4 linked regions of the Caenorhabditis elegans genome follow. The protein of the gene in region 2 interacts with the protein of the main gene of each other region in a pairwise test. Each region holds a gene or a part of one and is shown on either strand. Other genes may lie near its edges. The genes, in order: mig-39, C44B9.2, inso-1 and dyf-3.

Region 1 (5,548 bases), 2.4 Mb from region 2:
CCGGGTAGAGTGGGATAATCTTTTTCAAGTTGACAACAAGATTTCAACAACCACATCACCTAAGGTAATGAGTTCTCAAGAAAACTGCAGGATGCTGAGTATTTACAAGGAGAAACTGATTGAGGTTTTGGAGGATATATAGGTAAGTGATGTTAGGAAATTACTACTGCACCCGATTGATAATTTTTAAAAGGGTTTATTTTGAAGATATCAATAAACATTCCGACAGAAAAAGATTTTAAAATTATTTCTTCAGTACATTTTAAAATATTCCATAACGTTTTTTTGGATGGAAGATGTAATAATTTTTCATACCTTGTGTCAACACTTCTGCCTAACTGTAAGTGGCCACGCGATGGGCAGGCAGGCATAAAGAAATGCTTGCCTACCATAGATGCCTTCTATTACTGATTTTCTTCCACTATTTCCTAACTATTGTGCAGTTTGATAAGATTTTATGATTCAATAACTCTCCAAAAACTGCAAAGCGGATAACTAGGATTACCTGTAGGCTTTTCTTTAGATTGATATTTGTTGAAAAATAAAACTAAAGTTGAAAATGAAATTCAATTCCATTATACTTTAGAAACATAATATTTCAATTTAGAAGTTGGTAGTTTTCAACATTCAATTAAACTTTTTGATTGTGATAGCAAAACAATTTCAAAGACTGGAAAAAAATTCAAAATGGAAATGCCAAAATTAGGAATATGGTTAGATAAATTACGGATTTTCAAAAAATTATTTTAGCGCAGTTCACAAATTGAGCATTTGAAATACTCTTGGTGATTTGACGGTCTCTCCGCAGTTTAAAACACAGGGATATTTTTATTGAATATTAAAATCGAGTCTTACCATAAGTTTAAAAACCGTGTGTGACGTCACACTTATCAAGAAAATATGCTTGTAGAACATAGAATATGATAGTCTAAGAGTTTTTGAAATTTCTTGATAGATGTTAATATATGACAAATACTGTTATTCACAGCAAAAATAATAAAAACAATAAATTATCCTATAGGTAATAAAAATTGGAATACCACTCTTCAAAATTACTATTTCATTTTTTCTTATACCCAAAAGATAATCTTTGTTTTCAATACTAAAATGAAACGATAATACCGGTGAGTTATATCTATATCTACCTAGAATGTTAAAAACACGGTTGAAAAAAACCCGACGGCTCGAGGAGCTGCTGGCTTATCAGTAAGCTACTTGGCTGTACGCGAGAGGATGACGACGGATTCTAGATGAAAGAAGAAGAGGTGATCGGCGTGTGTCCAAGAGCCGATTTTGCGACGGATTTTGGGGAAATGGGAATGAAAGGGAAAAAGAAAAATGAAGAATTATTTGAATATCTTGATTTGATTTATTTTGGTTTTGCGTGGTAGAAACCCTTGATTTTTGATAATAGAGGAAGTTTTCAAAGAATAAATAATTTGAAAGTTCAATAAGACTTTTAAATGCTTAAAAGTAGAGGAGCACTAAAGAGAAAAGTGTTTATTTAAACTGAAAGAAAAATATCATAACATTTTTTGAAAATTTTTTCATTTTAGTCAATCAATGGCGATTGCAAAGTTTTTGCTACTGATAAACCTAGAAGTCATTCAAAAATGCAACAATACTCTGAATTTCTCAAAAATCTGAAACTAGATAATTTGGACATTTACCAAGGCCTTGGCATAAAATTTACAAAAATCTTACAACTTTTGGAGTGTTTAATTATGATGTTTGGTTATCTCAAAGGACTTCGTGGTATTATTTACAGGTTGTGTAAAAATTGGGAAAATAATTGAATAAGAGCAAAATGGATTTGAAAAGTAATATGCAACGGTTCAGAAACCATACATATTTAGGAGGATCTTGAATTCTGTCTCGGCCCCCTCCCACCAAAATACGCATAAAAAAGATATGAATCTACCCCAGAAGACGCCAAAAAGAAGTGGGCTATCTCAACTTGTTCGGCCACAACTTCACTGTTCATTTCGAAACCTAAACTGTTTTATTTAAATATACGAATGTTCATGAAACCATTCTAGCAGGAGGAGATGGCTGAGACAAGGGCGGTACACAGAAATAATAGTAATGATCGCCAATTTTCGGAAGAGGAAAATACAAAATGAGTCAGCATACATTGTCACAGGACGGCTCTCAAACAGTAGTGATGGGTGATTGAGGAAACGAGAAAAAGAGAGAGAGGAATAAGAGAAAATTGGTGGAAAATTGACTCATATTATACAATGGACGACTCGAACGAAATTTGAGTAAATAAACATGCTCAACCTATTGGAAATTGATATGATCGTAAATTATTGGCAGTTAGAAAAAAAATTCGTTGAAATCGCAAAATTTGATTGAAAAGTTATACGAACACCTGAAGATGAACCTACTATATATGCTAAATGTTATCTATACTCTCCCCATATCCTAAAATCATTTAGCAAAAATTTGGTCTAACAAAACTCAAAAGTGACTCAAATTTTCCCAACACCGAAGTGCTCTTCCTCTTTATTTTTTGCCCATTTCCCCAACTTGCTCTTTCCCCCTCTTTCTCCGTGGTAACCAAAACCAGATGGTTTCATTTGTTCCCAAAAACCATCCGGCCCCTCCGTGTCTTTTCATCAATAGACCTCCTAAAAACTCTTTGGGTGTAAAGTGTTCGTGGATTCTCATCAACTGGTGGGACCTACAAAGATTTCGAGAGCCACTTATTGCTAAATTGAATGATAGAAGAACAATGTGCGAGTTATGGAAAATGAATTGGAAGGGTTTGGGTTGGAAGATTTTCAGTTTTGACAGTCAATAAATGTTTAAATCTAAATTGTATATTGAAACATTTTTAACTGGTAAAGTGTAATAAAAACAAAATATCATATTTTGTAAAAAGAAAACCTAAAGCTATCCGAAATTTTTGAATAATCTCAGTGGGTCAGTGGGTAAATAAGTATACCAAAATTTCTTTCATAAAACCTTTGAAAGTTGATAAATTCGAAAACTCTTACTTTTCTCTAAAAATAAATAACAATAAACTGTCAGGTACTGAGTGAAATGTGGAGCGCGAATCGCCCATAAAACACTCACAAATACCATTCCTTCTTTTTTCCTTCTTCTCTCAATATTTACTAAACATCATCATAACTATATAGATATTTTCTGACTTGGTTTTATAGTATACACACTATTCTAGTTTTTAGGTTTAACTTACGTTTTTCGGGTTTTCCTGGGATTTGTGCAATGATCTCAGCAATTGTGGCAATAGTACCTGAAAATTGGTCTTGATTCTAATTTAAAAAAATTTAAATTAGTAAAGAAATAAAACAAATGAAATCTCATGTCCCATGGGGAAAATTTGGGCGGCTATCGGGATCTACAAAACCTAAAAGAAACCACAAAAAAATATGAATTTATTTGGAAATGAGGGCTTCGTCTTTCGGTGGTGAAGGAAATGCCGCAAATTTATGGGTTACTCTTTTTTGTGTTTCTCTGGATTTTTGAGAAAAAATGCTTCACACAGGGATATTGGGATGAGCAAAAAAGGGCGTTGCGACAAAAAACCCGAAGAAGGAAAAGACAAATGGTCGAAGGACATGGATATGAGAATAGGTGAATGGATATGTTTTTGAGAAGGAATTGAGGTATTTTGGAGATGCTGGTAATAGAACGTTTGGGTTAAAAAACTGAATTTCTTTCAATTTAATAAGATTTGATAATACTGAATGATATGGACTATTTGAAGCATGTAGCTGAAATGAGCATCTAGAAGTCTACGATTTCAGATTCACTGAAGTCATGTAGGGTCCGGTTAATCTTTTGTAGAACCCAATTCAGATTTTAAAATGCTGGTTACTACGACTTCCCGTAAAATTAATAATTAAGAATTTCCAACGAATCGAATTGGCAGAAAATCGACCAGACAAGTTGTGGATACCTTTTCTGTGGCCCTGATAGGTACCTGGTTTTACAGAAAAAAGTTTTACTTAAACAAAAATGAAACTTGGATTCCACCAGTACCCACCCAAGTAGTATTTATACGCGACCTACAAGAAGAAGCTACTACGGTAAGCCAATCGGGAATAAGTGAGACAAGAGATGTAATCACAGAGAGAGTTTTGTTTAGGCCTCACAATGATGTCGAAACTAAGAAGGAAGAGTTGTCATAGTGTATAACGAACCTAGGCCATCAATCATACTCACACACCATAAACGCTGGACTCTCCCCATCTTCAGGCTCGTGTATCCGAGTCGCATCCCCCTAAGGAGCATCAGGTGCTCTTACCCATCAAAACGACATAATCCATCAAAAATTGGCGCGCGCTCATGTTGAAGCCCGAGTCGAGCTGAGCTCTTTAAGAGGAGCCGCTGGCTCGTTTGTTGCAAAACAAACGAAGGGACAATACGGGTTTTGGGTATGGGATAACACAACACTTGGGACACATTCTCAAAATATTCGTCGAGTTTTAAGGTTTCTCTATTGTTAGGTCCTTACAAAAATAAATTGAAAAAATCTAAAAATCAGGAGCAAAGTGCCCAGAGGGCATCGTCCATCTCATTTTGAGTTACGAGTACTACTCTCAAAATTTCCGGATCCAAGAAATAAGGGCAAACCTTTCTCCAGTCCCATGGGTCATATAATTTTTGCCAAACATTTAGCAATGATAGACGGGATGCTTCTGGTGGTGGTTTTTTGAAGGGTTGCATGAAGTTTTGACCTGGTAGAGGTTAAGGTGGCATCAGGGAAATATATATATTGTGGTAAAGCCCCAGCAGGCATAACTTTTAATCAGTTTTTATCTTTTTTACGACCACCCAAGTGAGAAACAAATATGAACTGTGTGGTTCATTTAGTTATCTAGATCATACTAAACTGTATTAAATTCTTCTTTTAAAGGTTACAACGGGAACAAAGCTGGACAACTGCTTTTTACTAGTTTCAAAATCACGGCAGTCACGAATATGAACATTTCACATTTCTAAACAAAGTTCTAGAATACCAACATTCCTCATAGTTTTTCTCTCTCAAAACTTTCACCGGTTGCTCACAACTCAATATCCAATATGTTTTGGGATGGTCAAAAAAGAAAAGGAAGAAGCGACGAATCAATTGAAACAAAAAGTGGTTGTTGTTATTTCTCAATATTCGAGAGGTAAACCTTCTTCTGATGTGCTATACAATTGATGACGTGGCAGGTGACTCTTCTACCTCCTTTCAAAACGGTAGGACAGCTAATAATAGAAGCATCTGACGAGAAGGAGGAGGCGGTGATGGAACAAACGAACGAAAAATTGGAAAACTGAGAAAAAATAAAAAGTACAGAGAGGAGCGAAAAATGCGGGAAAATAGGAGGAAGCGGACAGGGAAGAAAAGTTAAAAATGTTTATATTAGAGAAAGGGTTGGGGTAGGAGCAAAAGAAATAAGAAGATGGGAAGAATATTGGGTGAAACTCTAGCAAAGAAAAGACGGAAAGAGTTTATGAACTAAATACAGATGGGTCACAAATCATCATAATGGTGACTAATGAATCGGTTGGTTTTTGTTTGTTCACCGAG
Region 2 (5,570 bases):
GAAAAAATGAAATATTTCAAAATATTCCAAAAAAATAATGGCACGGTTTTTCCGCCTTTTTTTTGCAAAATTCACAAAAATTCGAATAGAAAAACAAGATTTTGATATTTAATTGAATATTTTTATTTTATTTCGAACCTTCTTGCTAAAAACCCCATTAAAAATTGAATTTTAAGTCTAATTTTGTTCCAAAATCCCCAAAATTTCCAGATCCAAGGTCAATGCTTCATGTCAACCGTCAAAGTTCAAGCATCCAATACAGTATGCCCATGGTGTGTAGATGATTCACAAACAACTACTACAACTACAGTAACCCCAGCACCACCATCCACCACGTTTTCTCCATTTTTCGGAACTTCGAACAACACCTCATTGCTCATCGGAATGCTCATTCTTGCGTTTTTCTCTTTGCTGGCTCTCACATCGACTACCGTACTCCTCTGTGTGTATATTAGTGATCGAAAGAAGCCTGAGTTCTTTGATATGCCATTGCCACAGGCAAATAGTACTGTACTTGGCGGGAGGAGGTAAGGAAATTCACATATTTAGATTCAAAAATCGAAAAAAATCAATTTTCAGTAGCGACACGGGCCTCTTCACCACAAAATCATCATCAGAACGTTGGACAGAATACGGATGTGAACCATGGTCATCATTCCAACCATTTAATATTGATTCAACATATAATCCACCAAGAGAGACGACATGTGTCTATAAAGTTACACATCGGGAGGACGACGAATCAAGTGATTCCGGAAATGCGTCACTATAATAATTTTTTAATTTTTTAAAATTTCTCCCAACAGTTTTCATAAAATTCTAATTTTTTTTGCCACAAAATTTAATCAGATCTCTAATTTGTATTCTTCTTGTGATATAATACTGCTCATTTGATGTATGTTCATCGTAAATTAAACTAAAATTTTTATTTTTTATGATTTATGTAATAAATAAATTACCGGCTCAGTAGCGGTTTTCTTGGCCCAATGATTCGAGGAATAATGGGATAAAAGTTAGGTGTATGCTGGAGTCTCAATGGAGAACTTAAGGGAATTAATAATACTGGGGGGGGGGGGGGGGGGAACTTGGGAAATAATAAAACAATAAAAATATTAGGAATAAAACAGACGGGGAGTTACTTATGAACATGAAAGAATGCAGCCGAATTGGTCCATGGAAATTGTACAGGTGCCGTCGGAGATCACCATACCCGAGCGGGATGTGTGAATTCGTTTCTCGCCTCGCTTCACGTAGCATTTGTCCTTGTCCTGAAAGAAAATTTATTTTTTTCGGTTTATTTTAACTTTTTTTTTCGATTTTATTGATTTTCTGTCAAAAAAATTGCAAAAAAAAGCTGGCTACGGTAATCTTAAAGGCGCACAGCGGAATATTTGCAGTCGGGTCTCATAAGGAAGTTGCTCATCCCCGGCCATGCGCCTTTAAAACTACCGTAGCCCGCCAAACATTTTTGTTAATTGTTTTCAAATGTTTTTCTTCGATTTTCTCGTTTTTCACATAATTTTTCGATTTTAAATCCGATTTTTGTCGAAATTAATAATTTTTCATCAACTTTCAGCAAAAATTCTAAGCCCAGTGCTAGTTTGAACCCAAAACTGCACAAAAAATTGGGTTTCGAACAGATTCAGGCAAATTACAGCAAAAAACTAGATTTTCATTAAAATTTGAAAACTTTTTGACCGTATATATTTTTTTTCTTAATTAAATCAATTTCTTACCTGAATAGCCATATCAATAAAAGCGCTTCTGAGCTGAGCCGTGAGAGTTGTCGCATTGACGGTAAGCTTCACTGGTTTTGCCTCCACATTCACCTCTCCCGATTGAGTGTTGTACTTGAGAAGCATCCCGTTGATATGCACAGTGAGGAGTCCATCCGGGTGCTTTTCGTATTGAGCTTGCTGCATTACAGCTTCGCACTTTTCCATATTCTGAAAGAAAAAAGAATTTAATTCAAGTTGAAAGAATGCTTTAATTTTAACTTACACTTGCTCCAAGATCAGATTCTCCATACATTTGTTGAATGGTATAATCCATATTCATGATCGGAAACTCTGGTTTCTCAAGAACCACCGCCGAAGGTCCAGATTCTTTGGCTCCACTCAAAAGATAGGCTTCTGTGAGTGAGTCCATACTGAATAGAATTCCTTCTGGTCCCATCACAGCCATTCGATCATTTGTATTCAGGAATTTGCAGTGAACATGCTCCTTTTGATGCACAATCTTTGCATATTTGTGAAGAAAACTGCAGACGGCACCATTCGAGTTGATGTAGGCCATGAAATCCGTGTTGCAGACGACACGAAAACTGCGATCCATACACAGTTCGACGATTATTCCGGCGGCCATGGATACCATCACAGTTCCTTCCTGGGAGCAAAGGAGCAGTGGATACTTGACAACACCCTGATCTGTCTTGATTCCTCTAATTGGGACTGAATTGGTTGCAAATGGCAATGGGCTGACCAGTTGGAAGAACTTTAGATTTGGATTCGGAATAGTTCCTGAACAATTTTAAGGTTACTTTTGATCTACTAGAAGACTACAAACTACTCACCTTGCCTAGAAGCAGAAGAATTTTCCTGTTTCCGAGGTGTCGACTTTCTCTGATTCTTCTTTCCACTGTTGTTGCTTCCACTTGACTGTTTCCATCCACTGAATGGAATGTGAGCTGGTGGCGATAAGTCATCGAATACCGAGTTGTTGACTCGTGGAAGACCTCTGCAAATTTTGGAAATTTTGAAAAAAAATTGGTGGTTTTAAGTAGTCTGAGCGGAATTTTGCTTTAAAAATTCCAGAAAATTTGCGAAATGTCTTGAAAAAATCGCATTTCGCCGAATTTGGAAGTTTTATGAGCAAAATTTCAAAAATATGGCCGAGAAACCCAATTTATGACGGCCATCACTCTGTTTTCCAGGATCTGAGGTGCATTTTTTCAGAATTCGCTGCGTGGCCTAGTTTTCGCATTTCACGGCCATGCAGCAATACCTGAATGCCCTTCCGGAAAAAAATAACGTGGCCGCGAAAAAGTTATCGGTGGCCTAGTTTTCTTAAAATTTCCAGATTTACACTTTTTTCTATAACTGTAATTTCTTTAATTTTTCGATAAAGCCGATTTTTCATCCATTTGTGCAGGGATGGCCTAGGTTCCGCATTTCACGGCCACGTGGCAGCCTATACAAAAACTCCAAAAATTTAGATTTCCACGTGGATTCCTGGCTTTTTCTAAAATTTTCCAGTTATTTCGCTATGAAAAAGCCAATTTTTCGGGGTTTTCTTTTCACAAATGGTGAAAAATCTGAGAGCGAAAACGTGGCCGCGAAAAAAGTAATCGGTGGCCGAACTTTCTCATTTCGCGGCCACGTGGCAAAACCTGTATTCCAGCCAGATTTTGAAGAAAATTTCCAGATTTTACTAGCATAAAGTGAAATTTCTTCACAATTTTCTGGGATTTCCTCTTAAAAAAATCCGAAAAAAAAACTAACGGCGGAAGTTCCACAGACATCACAGCGAACGGTGCCGTCGTTTTCTCCGCCATTTTGAGTTGTTGAGATGGAGCTCCCGGAGCAGCTGTTGCACGTCGTTGAGGCGTCACAGAATCTCTGAAACACGGATTTGTCAGCAGAGAGCTCACAATCAAAAAATGCTCCAACTCACCCTTTCTGGTTTCGCAACGTCATTTTGGCTTGCCGGAGATTCGTCGTACTGAATTTTCCGATTTTTTTTCGTCTCTGATTCTCTGAGTTGGACTATGTTACGTTTCGCCACGTGGCGTGCCACGTACCTTTTTTTTTTGTTAAATTTTGTGGATTAATCTTCACGTGCTTTTATTTTTTTTTGGAAAAAATAATTCAAAATTGAAAAAAATCTCGTTTTTCAAATAAAAATTTTGCGCAAAAATTGGGTCTCGTCGCGATTTATCCCTTTAAACTCTAGAAATAAAATTTGAAAATTTTGGGTCTCACCACGAAAATATGCCTACTGAAAATTTTACGAGGTCGTGGGTACGGTAGTTTTAAAGGCGCCAAAATACGGTACCAGGTCTCGACACGATGGATTTGTTTATTGCAAAAATGTGTGCGCCTTTAAAGGATACTGTAGTTTCAAACTTTCATTTTTCTGTTTATTTTTTCATAATAATGTTTTAAATTCATCAAATAAATATAATTTAATCGGAAAACTTTGAAAAATCAATAAAAATTCCTAGGAGTTTGAAACTACAGTACCCTTTAAAGGTGCACACTTTTTTAAATGAGCAAAAATTTGTCGTGTCGAGACCGTGATAAAAAATCGGGTTTTTTGTTGTATTAAAAATTTATTGATTATGAGGACAGAGATGATGACATGAAAAGATTTCAAATCAATAATTAATGCAAAAATTGGGTCTCGTCGCGATTTCTGGAACAGGATGCGCCTTTAAAACTGTGGCAGTGGGTACGGTAGTTTTAAAGGCGCAGATTCAAATTTTCCATTTTTCTCAAATTTTCAATCGCGAAAAGAACCCAATTTTTGTCGAAATTTCAATTTTCTGAAAAGAAAAAAAATGCAAAATAAATTAATAAATTAGTGACAAAATATACAATTATATCAAACTATTTCTACATAAAATTCTAGTCTTTCAAAGCGTCCAATATCCGAAGTCGGGCTTTTTTGCTCACGTGAGCTGCGGCACCGAGTAGAGAAGACAGCTGCTTTGATGAGTATTCCTGCAAAATTTCGGGAAAATAATTTATTAAATTGGAAAAACCCCGTACAGAATGCGTCTTTATCCACTGTTCTAGACCATTTTCCGGCAGATAATAGGCTTTGATGTATCCATCGACGAAACTCGCGTGAGGAACTGGCTTGATTCCGCAGAGGGGCTCCAGCTGAAAAAATACTGGAATTTTTCGGGTCTCGAAACGATTTTTCAATAATATTTTCCTAGTTTTTGGGCGGTAATTGCCCTTCGGCAAATTTTTTGTCGTAGAATTCGGCAAGTTGCCGGTTTGCCGGATGTATTCAATTCCGGCAATTTGCCGGATGTTTTCTATTCCGGAAAATTGCCGGTTTGCCGGGTGTATTCGATTCCGGAAATTTGCCGATTTGCCGATTTGCCGGTAGTTTACCATTCCGACAATTTGCCGATTTGCCGCTTTGCCAAAAGTCTTCAATTCCGGCTATTTTCCTATTTTCCGGAAGTTTACCATTCCGACAATTTGCCGATTTGCCGCTTTGCCGAAAGTCTTCAATTCCGGCAATTTGCCGATTTGTCGCTTTGCCGAAAGTCTTCAATTCGGAAATTTCCCGATTTGCCGCAAGTTTACCATTCCGACAATTTGCCGATTTGCCGATTTGCCGGATGTATTCAATTCCGACAATTCGCCGATTTGCCGGATGTGTTCAATTCCGACAATTCGCCGATTTGCCGGAAGTTTTTAATTTCGACAACTCGCCGCTTTGCCGAAAGTCTTCAATTCCGGCAATTTTCCTATTTGCCGGAAGTTTTTAATTCCGACATTTTGCCCATTTGCCGATTTGCCGGATGTATTCAATTGCGACAATTCGCCGATTTG
Region 3 (5,513 bases), on a different chromosome or scaffold from region 2:
AAAATATTCAAAAAATTTCTGGATAACAATACAGCCCTAAAATAGGCTCCGCCTAAATATTGGACACTTCTGGCACAATATTCCGGTTTTTAAAATTTCAAGTTATTTTTTACGCTGAAACCTCAAAATTAATTTTTAATTCTACGAAATAGAAACCAGACTATTATTTTAAAATAAAATTCAACAAAATTATCTCATTAGACTCCGCCCATTTATTGGCTTTGGTGTGATTAATTGAACAAAAACTGAACAGGAACGGATGCAGCAATATTGAATTCGAGAAAAAAATACCACAAAATGGTAGAAAAAAAATGGGAAAAATTATTTCATGTTTTTTCGAGTAGGTTTTTTAAAAGTTATTTTATTTTATCAGTTTTAACAGGCTACCAAATTATAAATAATTATTACATACTGTTACTCAAAATATAATGCTCTATAATAAATTTTTCAAAGTTTGAATTTTTTTAAAAAGAAAATATTATTTTACGCTTTTTTTTCAACTGGAATAGGTATATAGTTCAATTTTCAGGAAATATTGTAAATTAAAAAATAAGCAAATTTAATTTTTTCTCAATTAAATATAATTTTAGTTATTGTATATATATATATGTGAAATTGAAAACTTCAAAGTTGTATTCAAAGAAAAAACTGCAAATTTTAAATTCATAAGAATAAAACGCTGTTATTGAAAACCTAAAAACCAGAAAATTCCAGCCAAGCTCCGAATGACAAAAAAAAGAATCAATAGACAAGACAATCGTACTAGCACTGCACACCCGCCAACCACTTGACCATATGGTCAGTTACTGCGTAAGGATCCGAGAGAGCACACAGAAGGAAGAGGGCGAGCAGAGATATGAAGCGGGAAATGGGGGGAACTAGTCCACGGCCATAGGGTGCCCGGCGATGCTGCTGCTGCTTCGGTTGGGGGAGAGCTGGGAGACGCAGAGTATATATGTAGGCTTAAGAAAATGAAACAGTGAGGGGGTAAGGAACAACCAAGTGCGAGTGTGTGTTTGTGCATGAATGTGCTCCCCCCGTCTTCTCTCACTTGCTCTCTCCCCCCATGTTTCCAAAAAAATAATGGAATAGCTTTAGGAGGTTCTACATTGCAATTGACATTTTTTCATTAAATTTTTTTTGGGATTTGTTCGAGGAATTCTCTAGTACTGAAGATTACTATTTTAGCTCTTTAAGAAATCTACATATTTAAAAATCTGAAATTTCTAAGGTTTTGAGCTGTTGCTGCCGGGATACATCGTTTGAATTAAATCATTTTGCGGATCACTTCCAAATGACAAAAACGAAAAAATTTCCAAAAATACTTCATATCCGGTCAGTACCAGGTCGGAACCAGAAAAGTGATGAAAATTTTCGGAACATTTGAATTGCTTAAATATTGATACACTTTGCACATTTTTTTTCTGTGATAAACGTGAAAATTCGAAATATAGTGCCTTTTTAATTTTTCGCGGATTTGCCAACCTACGAATTTTAGTTTTTCGGTTATTTAGAAATTTATTAAAGTGAAAATATAAAACTATAATTTTTTCAGTTAAAACATTTTCAGACTTTTCAAACGTAAATTACCAGATAACTGCCATGTTTTTTGGAAAAAATAATTTCAAATCAGAAATGTGATGAAAAGTTTTAGAAAATTTAAGTTTTTATTCGGCGAAAAGCTTTTTTTTTTTTAAATTTAAAAAAAAAGCAGTTTCTTTTGAGTTTTCAGGCTGTAAAGTTTAGTTTTTTTCAGAAGCCAAATTATAATTTTGTAGAAAGTTGAAGTTTTAGTTTTCAGACAAAAGTAGAATATTTATTTGGAAAAAAAAGGTTCCACATTTTTTCGAAGTAAATTTTTCAAACCTTTTAGATGTGAAATTTATAGTTTTTTATGCGTAACCTTAGTTTCGAACCTAATTTCAATTACTTAATTTTTTTTTCGAGCCCGCAACTATTTATAACTTTTAGATTTTTTCAAAGTGTAATATATTCCAACTAAAAATACTTCTTTCTTTTTTCACCTAATTTTTTATTATTTGTTCAATTAAATTCCATAAATCTAAACCGGTAACAAATAGTCATGCTTTACATATATCAGAAACAAAGTGAAAAACAAACTATAAAAACTTACATACAAATCATGAACTAGAAAAAAAGGAAATTTATTGAAAAAAGCAAGATGCAGAAGGGGATAGAAATTGACATTTCGAAAAAGAGCAACATTTGGAGGGAAACATGACAAAACATGACAAATCAAAAAAAATATTCGACTTGAAATTAATTCTAACTGCATACTGACACTGTTGATTGGCAATAATTAAATATGAAACTTTAGGTTTTCTAACAACTATTTTTGAGGCAAGTAAAAGTTCTCCAAAAACTAATGTTTGCAGATTTTTAATAATATTCATGTTGTTTACGTGTAAGCTCAAAATGTTCAATTTATAAAATTATATTATCTAATAAAAACGAAAGGCCCTTAGAACACCATGTGGGTGAGATATATATACCATACGCTATCCTTACAGTCTCATTTTTTAGAGACAACAATTGAAATGTGCCTTCAATTTTAATAAATTTCATTGGCTCACAATTGCCGGTTTACTTGGAATATTTTGGAAAAAATTTAGTCAGAGAACAAACGGAGGGAACCTAGCCTAAGCCTGAGCCTAAGCCCAAGCTTAAGCCTAAGCCTAAGCCAAAGCCTTAGCCAAAGCATAAGCCTAAGTCAAGACCTAGGCTTTAGCCTAAGCCTAAACCTACGCTTAAGCCCAAGCCTGAGCTTTAGACTGAGCCTTAGCCTAAGCCTAAGCCTAAGTTTAAGATTATATAACTTTTTTAATTGGAAAAAATTCATTTAAATCATACATAATATGCAAAGTTATAAATAAAACTTTTTGAAGAATTTTTTGAAGGTATTACTTTAAAATTTATTTTTAAATTTATTCAACCTACTCACTATCAGATTGGTAGACAATGTACAACAAAAGGATACCAAAGAAAATCGATATGTAAAACTTTTTTACAAAAACCAGTTGTGCGAACAAAATCCGATAAAATTTCTGAAATTTGAAAGAACTTACCTGAAAATCGCACGCGGCCAGAGCAGCTGCTTTACCTCGTTAGCTAATTTTTTGGCGAAACGACGCCGACTGAAAATTCAAATCAGATGAATAAATTCAATATAATGAACCGAAAGGAAATCTCAGCTAATGAAGAAAATCTCGGTGCCCTGGAAAAGATGATTCATAGGCAGTTAAATGGACGTCTCTGTGAATGAGAGCGTAATTAATTTTCTTATCTTGGGTTTTGTTTAGTCAACCGCAAGATATGCACTTTTAGAGATGTCACGTCATGGCCTTTTTGGGGAGGAGGGGGGGGGGGCACTTGGAACCACTGGATCGGAAGGGGGCCCTTTTTGTAATATTATTTTGTCAGATTCGCTAAAAATCGTCAAAAACTAAGGAAGTAATTCTCAGCTTTTGTTATAGTTTTCATGCTTTATAGGATGTACTTGCATTTTCACCTGTTCTTGTTAATTATAATTAGCGGTCTGACTTCAGAACTCTGTATGTATTCCGGGCTCACCTGCCTAATAGAACACGGTGGTTCAGTTGCTAAATGGGTGCAAACGCGCTCCACCGAACAAACGTGCATAACTTGGCCAGGAAGTACAAAATCGAAAATTCATCACAAATAAAGATAGATAATTTCATTGCGGTCATTTCTTATATGCATCGCAAAATCGATTTTGTGATGGTTTTCGAGATAGTAGCCAATATAGGTTTCCAGACTGAGTATCATGAACCAATCCATCTAGTTTCTGTGCTACCGTGAGAACTATCCGGCACGTTAAGAAAAAAAATTAACTGTACACGAAGTCTTTGAACTATGAGAAGTTCGACCCTAAACGTTTACCTAATTCCTCAGTTTTTCACCATTTTCAAAGTCTGTAACATTGCTCCAAGAATGACTTTTTGCAGATTTTTTATGGTTTTTTTTTTATGTTCAGAAGATGAAAGCGGCTGAAGATTGTGAAAACTTTTTTTTAATTTTCAAAGGCTTTCAGAATGTTAACTATTATCGAAAAAATACGATAAAATTTTGCTTTTTTCTTTTTTCAAAAAGTTCAAATTTTTCTCATAATTTATTTTTGATCTACCTTGTTCACTAGGCTCTTCCTTTCTCTTCGTTAAGACAGCCACAACGAAATAACAACGGCAACAAATTTAGCGGCGGAGTCAAGTTCCAAAGGTAGATCAAATGTTAATTATGAGAAAAATTTGCGAGCGTATTTTTTTCGATGATAATTCTTAGGCACCTTTAAATAAATTCATGAAAAACTTTTGGAACAAGTGGTTTTTTTGCACATATTTAATGTTTTTCAGGATCTTTGAAACAAGGTAAACATTCTGGAAGATTTTGAAGATTTTAAAAGATTTTCCAAAATAAAAATTACTGAAAAAGGCAGGCAGGCACTTCTGTACCTACAAATAAGCCTTCTGCACTGTATTTCAGAAACTTCAAAAAAATATAAAGTTTATAAGCAACTCGAATTTAAATAATCTTGGCACGCTGAATTCAAAATACCAATTTCTAATTTTTAAATTTTTTTTCAGAGCGAGCTTCTGCTGTACTCCAAAAAACTGTTCATATTACAAATTGAAAAAAAATCAAAAATAAAAAATACAAAATAAAAACTATTCAATTGAAGTATTCGGCGGTTGCTCCCACATTTGGGTGACCGAGATGAGTTGAGTGAACACGAGTGACAGTGGCGTTTTAAATGCGGTTTTCACCTTTTGCTGGCGTTGACACGTGAGAATTTGCTTGAATGCCCGTCTGAAATCTCGCGAGAAGCGCGAGTAGATGAGCGGGTTGAGCATTGAGTTTAGGTGACCGGCCCATGTGACGAATGTGAAGATGGTCTCTTTGTTGGAGAAACACTGAAACGGAAATTTAATTAGCCGCGGCTATTTGTGGGCTTTTTTTTGGTTTTTGGAGCAATGGTGAGTCGAGTTTTATCATAGTAGGGGCTTTGTCAATTTCTGATAAAAGCATTTTTCAGAAATTTTTCAAAAAGTTGCAAGTAACCGGAAAGTTCACCAGGCGCCTTCCCCTCAAAAACTAAAAACTCTCGTTCACTAGAATACCGTTCAAATTTTTTACCAAAACATAAATTTGCATGCCCGACATCTAGCGGGTCATCAAATCCTACACTTACACTTTCACAGAACGCGGTGAGCGGAGTGAACACGAAAAATGGTGTCCAGCAGAGAATAAATGCTCCGACCACAATGGAAAGTGTCCGAGCTGCACGTTGCTCGTGGACGTAGCGCATCATTTGGCGCGATTTTTCTCGAACATTCAATTTTCGACGCGTTGATAAGGGAGATGTCATCACCATTTGGGAGTTGGAGGAGAGCGACATACGATCCGGCTGGAAAATTTGGGGGATTTTTAATGGAATGTTTACATTATTAGAGGAGGACTGAGTGAATGGTTTCTGA
Region 4 (5,221 bases), on a different chromosome or scaffold from region 2:
TTTAAGATTTTCCGATTTTTTTGCCTGAGAACTTTTCTGGGATCTTCCGAGTTGTTTGGCTAAAAAAATCTGAAATTTCAAAAATTTTCAGAATTCCATTTGGGTTTTTTGTAATTTTTGGCCAGAAAGTTTCTGAAAAAAAATCAGAAAAATCAGAAATTTTGTGGAATTTTCACAAAAAATTGTAGTTTTTTAAAAACTATTTTTCTGCAATAACCTAAAATATATTTCCAGGTTATGGCTCAAGCTCATCTCCTCCACAGTACTCTCAATCGGCATCGTCGACCGCAACGTATTCCACGTCATCACCTAGTAGTAATAGTAAAACCTCGAGTTTTAGGTACCGAGTGGATCCCGCCGAGATTGCCGTTATGCTTTTTTGAATTTTTTGACGATCTCTAATTGTTTTGTTGAATTGTAAATATGTAATAAAAAGGTGCATTTATTTTCTGGGGTTAATAAAAACTTAAGGGTTTTGCAAAAAAAACACAAGAAGAAGCTCAGAAGTCGTCTCCACTGCTCAAGTCGCTTTTCGCGTCGTCGGCCACGTGGGCGGTGGTGATCTGAAAATCGATAATTTTAGTTTCCACGGGTACGCGCTTCTGGTTTAGATTACGACCAGGCAAAGCTTAAGGCCAGAAATCGCGGGAAACTTAATTTTCACTGGAGTGACGTCACAGCCTTTTTTCTGAAGCTCATACACCGACAGGGTGTTGTTGGCCTGTCTGCGGGGTACGGTAGGTTGCCGTCACAGGAGGCATTTGTAAAAAATGTGACGTCACAACGCATCCTAGTGGAAGTTTCTGAACTTCCAAAGATCTAGCAGCTAAATCCACCTGACCATGAGGAGACGATCATCTACCCTCCCAAGCACCTTATCACTCACCCCGACCATATAATCCGCCTCGCTTCTCTCCTCATCCTCCTCCTGCCGATGAAGTTCTCTCTTGTGATGCTGCGCGACATTATCATCCATCCTGATGATCTCATCATCCTCGTCATCCTCATCGTCCTCATCATCATCAGAGGCATCACCACCCATCATGTTACCGTACACCTTGCGAACAGCTGGAAATGGTTAATAAACCTGTGGAGCTGATAGAACTTAACACTTACACTGCCTCCTGTCCACCAAGGGGGCGTCGGAGCCGTCGTCGTCGTGGAGTCCGATGCTGAAATAAGGATGTCAGTCGGAAGTTCTAAACTTCCATGAAAACTCACGCATCCTTCTTCTCCTGCTCCAGCCGCATTTTCTCAACGGCCATCCTCATCGCCTTCTCCAGCTCCTCCTGCCGTTGCCGCTCGGACCTCGCCAAGTCATCATGAACTTTTCGCAGATAGGACAGGTTGCGGAAGTTCAGCACGTAGACCTGGAAGCTTAGGCTTCACAGGGCAGCTCGGTATCCGGTGTCTTACCTCATAAAGTTTCTTCAGTCGCTCCTCAAACCGCTCGTACTCGTCCATATACTGAGGTCGGAAGGACTGTAGCTTTGCGAATCTTTTTTGCAACTGCTCGTACTCTCGCTTCTTTCGCTCTATCTTCTCGTCGAGCTCTGCCTCATCGCTGGCCACGTTGTTCAGCTTGTTCTGAAAATTTGAGAGGTTAGCTGGGGAGCCTGCACCTAACCTAATTGTAAGTGACTCAGACCCTCCGGGCTTTAAGAACAATCACGTGGGTTCGAGTGGAGTGGGTGTTGCTTCAAGCCAGTTAGGCTAATTCAGTCTATTCCTTCAGCTCCAAGATCCTCAGCGGACTCCTCGAGGCTAGGGGTCTCTGAGCTTCTGGAGAAGATGCACAGGCCCGGTCTAGTGGCTTGAAGCCCTGCATATACCACTAGAGTTCAGGTAATGAAGCTTCAAAGTCTGAATCAAAGTTCAAGTCACTCTTTGACCAAGCCCACGCCATTAGAAGAAGTCCAAGCTTTTTACTGTCCGCTTCACAATCAGGATCGAGCCAGGCCAATCTCTCAAACTCTAAGACGCCAGAGCTCAAACCTACGCCACCAGGAGCTCCGTGACCCGTCAAGCTTACCGATAGCTGCTCAGTCTCCTGAGCGATGTTCTGCACTGTTGCCTGCAGCACCTTCTCGGCCTCAGCAAGTGGTACCGCCCGTGACGCGGCTCTCTCGTGTTGCTGAGATATGAACTCCTGCCGGGACAGCAGCTCACTGAGCAGGGCACCTGTTTCCGGGAGTTGTGATGATAGCTGACGAGTGATTCGGACCTCCTGCATCTGAACTTTCGACAGTTTTTTCAGGCTTTTTCAGGCTGGTGGCCTGTGAGACCCACCTTCGACGAGAGCTTATTCTTGACTTGGGTCCATTTTGGCGAGTTATCAGTGTTCGGGTCCTCTGCCTTGGCCTGGTAGAGGATCTTCATGGCCGGTAGGAGTTCCTGCACCGCATGACCATCAGCCTGGTACAACTTTTTTGGATTCATCTTGATTCTCGAATTTTGGAGCATCAGGAGTACCGCGTTCTTGATGAAAGCGACCCGATCAGCTTCTGTTTGGACTTCGTGTGCGTCAAGGTTGGATTCGGGCTCAAATCTGGAATTTTTGGGCTTAGAGTAGGCTTGGAAGTTAGTGGCCAAAGTTTCTATATTTTTCGGCCAACGATTTTTTTCACTGGGAAACTAACTTTTTCACGATCCATTCCAGCAATTCAGCCACCAGCTGAAAATTTGGGGTCCGGAAATTCTCAATTGACATCAAGCGAGGGTATCGGAGGCTTCGCGTCATCTCACACAGGTCTGAAGTTGGCGAAATTTGGGACTAGAATCCGAACTCGGCCATGATTTTGTAAAATTCAATTTTAAGTGTATTTTGGGTCTTTTTTTTGCGTTTTATGGTTTAGAAACATTTCTCACCTAGATTTTAATGCAACACTTATTTTTTCCATATGAAAATCTCAAAGTTCAAATTTAAAATTAAAAAAGCCTTAAAAACTTACTTCTCAGCTCACGATACGACATTTTTCGTGCAGAATTCAATTGAAACTTCTCTTCTCAACAATTGCCTGCCTATTCCCCCATTCAATATTTCCTCCGTTCCCATAGAAACTCCCTGCAAACACCCCAAAGACTACGGTCGACGAGCTTCTGCAGCTCAACCGGCGTTTTGTACGCAAACACCGCGACGCCATATTGCACACATTTTTCGAGAGGAGCGCCGCGCGCATTTTCTCCGAGTTTTGTTTGCTTTTTTGCGCATCTTTCATTGATTTTTTATTAAAATCGGGGGAAATATGGTTTAAATTATCGATTTCCGCCTGTTTTAGTGGTGAAAATGTGAAAAATCGTAGTGAAAAACCCTAGAAACCAGTAAAATTCTATTTGGAAGGGTTTTGGTCTAAATTTTGAGTTTTTAGCATTAAAACAATATGCTCAGCAGAAAAACTAATGAAAATGTGAGAATTTTGAATCAAAATACCTAAATTTTTTAAAAAATCCTAGTTTTTCTCTATTTTTCTCAAAATTTCCGGCAAAAGCCTCAAAATTTCAATTAATTTCCGGTTTTTCAGGTAATCCCCGGTCGAAATGGCTCTGAGAAAGTGTGGAAACCTGTTCGTGGCTCGTCTCGCTGGCACCTCGACCAGAGCGGCTTCCAGTGAGTAGAAATTGCAAAAAATGAATGGAAAAAAAACGAAAAAATCGCTGATTACCGGCTAAAAATGAAGAATTGAACGGAAAAAACGAATTTTAACCTAAAAAAGCATAAAAATCGCCAATTTTTTCAGCAATGACCGTCCGTGACGCCCTAAATCAGGCTATGGACGAGGAAATCAAACGTGACGACCGAGTTTTCCTGATGGGAGAAGAAGTTGCTCAGTACGACGGAGCTTACAAGATTTCCAAGGGATTGTGGAAGAAGCACGGTGATAAGCGAGTCGTCGACACTCCAATTACTGAAATGGGATTCGCTGGTACGGGAAATCACGCTGGAAATCGAGAAAAATCGAGAAATGTTGACTCGGAACGTCAAAATCACTAATAAATCCCCAAAAACAGCACCATTTTTTCGAAAAGAAAGTGTCCAAATTTACTTTAATTTTGGATCTTTTCTCTCAAAAGTTCAGTTTTTACACTAAAAATTGGATTTTTCGAACAAATTTCGGAAATTTTCCTAAAAACAATTAATTTTCGGCATTTTTTATTGAAAATTTCAATATTCACTGCAAAAAGCTCGGAAATTACGGAGTTTTGATATTTTTCGCAGAAAATTCCGGTTTTATCAAAATTTTGTCGAAAATTAAGCTGAAAAATCACATTTTTTATATAAAAATCAGATTTTTCCCAATGTTATTTGCAGAAAAGCTCTAAGACCGCGCAAATTCAATTTTTCAGCAAAAATTGTCTAAAAAGCTCGAATTTTCGCATTTTTCTCGATTTATTCAATTTTTAGCAAAATTTTTTCAGAAAAAACTGAAAATTCCTCCAAAAAAATCACATTTTTTTCAGGAATCGCCGTCGGTGCTGCCTTCGCCGGGCTCCGTCCAATTTGCGAGTTCATGACATTCAATTTTTCCATGCAAGCCATCGATCAGATTATTAATTCAGCCGCAAAAACATATTATATGTCCGCCGGAAGGGTACGGTCTTGGCAATGTGCCACGTTTTCTGGAAATTGCGATTTTCAGCGAAAAAATAGCCGAAAAATTGAAGATTTTCACCAAATTTTTGACTAATTCGTGAGAAATCACGCTTTCTGCTATTTTTAGAACGAAATTCCTCGGTTTACACTGATTTTTCAGGAAAAAGTCAATTTCTGATACAAAAAATGCGATTTTTCTAGATTTTTGACTGAAAATCAGGGTTTTTCTGAAATTTCTACACAAATTTTACCTCAACAGAGCTGATTTTAGCTTTAAAATCCGATTTTTCTCGACTTTTCACTGAAAATTTCATTTTTTCAGCCATTTTCGTTGAATTTATGCTGAAAAATCATGTTTTTCACATGGTCTCACGCCATTTTGATAAGAAAAAATTTGTAAAAATCATCAACTGATAAGAATTCTTATCACTGAACACTTTCTGATCAGTGAATTTTATCAGAAATTGGAAATTTTTTTTCGGAAAATCGGTCCAAAACTGAGAAAATATAGGGAATTTATAACTTTTAAAGTTTTTTTTTCTTGTTTTTTTTTCTGAAAACACCGCTTTTCCAAGAAAAATACCGGAGAAAATGATATTTATAAAATCATTGAAGAAACATTTGAAAACG

Evidence for each region.
Region 1: the proteins of C44B9.2 (region 2) and mig-39 interact in a two-hybrid assay, tested with the Caenorhabditis elegans proteins (one large-scale study listed by BioGRID).
Region 3: the proteins of C44B9.2 (region 2) and inso-1 interact in a two-hybrid assay, tested with the Caenorhabditis elegans proteins (one large-scale study listed by BioGRID).
Region 4: the proteins of C44B9.2 (region 2) and dyf-3 interact in a two-hybrid assay, tested with the Caenorhabditis elegans proteins (one large-scale study listed by BioGRID).

Annotation. Positions count from the first base shown.
Region 1 is NC_003281.10:8,464,749-8,470,296, reverse strand, and holds the start of mig-39 (Zinc finger BED domain-containing protein 39), read right to left. Parts: upstream 3,263-5,548; 5' UTR 3,206-3,262; intron 2,589-3,205; exon of another isoform or gene 2,299-2,588; intron 1-2,298. UniProt on the Caenorhabditis elegans protein: Regulates the timing and orientation of distal tip cell migration during gonadal development. May act in parallel to cacn-1 and Rac GTPases to control the anterior and posterior migration of distal tip cells.
Region 2 is NC_003281.10:10,873,584-10,879,153, reverse strand, and holds C44B9.2 (Lgl_C domain-containing protein), read right to left. Parts: upstream 3,723-5,570; 5' UTR 3,696-3,722; coding exon 3,673-3,695; intron 3,618-3,672; coding exon 3,501-3,617; intron 2,737-3,500; coding exon 2,573-2,736; intron 2,520-2,572; coding exon 2,002-2,519; intron 1,947-2,001; coding exon 1,737-1,946; intron 1,269-1,736; coding exon 1,140-1,268; 3' UTR 912-1,139; downstream 1-911. Other genes in the region: C44B9.3 (C2 domain-containing protein), read left to right, coding at 211-527, 580-772; vps-50 (Vps54_N domain-containing protein), read right to left, coding at 4,626-4,883.
Region 3 is NC_003284.9:1,297,849-1,303,361, reverse strand, and holds the start of inso-1 (BTB domain-containing protein), read right to left. Parts: upstream 3,214-5,513; 5' UTR 3,087-3,213; intron 1-3,086. Other genes in the region: dop-4 (Dopamine receptor 4), read right to left, coding at 4,704-4,949, 5,228-5,443.
Region 4 is NC_003282.8:3,396,151-3,401,371, forward strand, and holds dyf-3 (Clusterin-associated protein 1 homolog), read right to left. Parts: upstream 2,974-5,221; coding exon 2,952-2,973; intron 2,752-2,951; coding exon 2,640-2,751; intron 2,549-2,639; coding exon 2,290-2,548; intron 2,234-2,289; coding exon 2,033-2,233; intron 1,588-2,032; coding exon 1,417-1,587; intron 1,371-1,416; coding exon 1,222-1,370; intron 1,173-1,221; coding exon 1,117-1,172; intron 1,069-1,116; coding exon 887-1,068; intron 564-886; coding exon 501-563; downstream 1-500. Other genes in the region: C04C3.14 (uncharacterized protein), read left to right, coding at 235-292, 341-383; pdhb-1 (Pyruvate dehydrogenase E1 component subunit beta, mitochondrial), read left to right, coding at 3,538-3,607, 3,738-3,923, 4,459-4,589.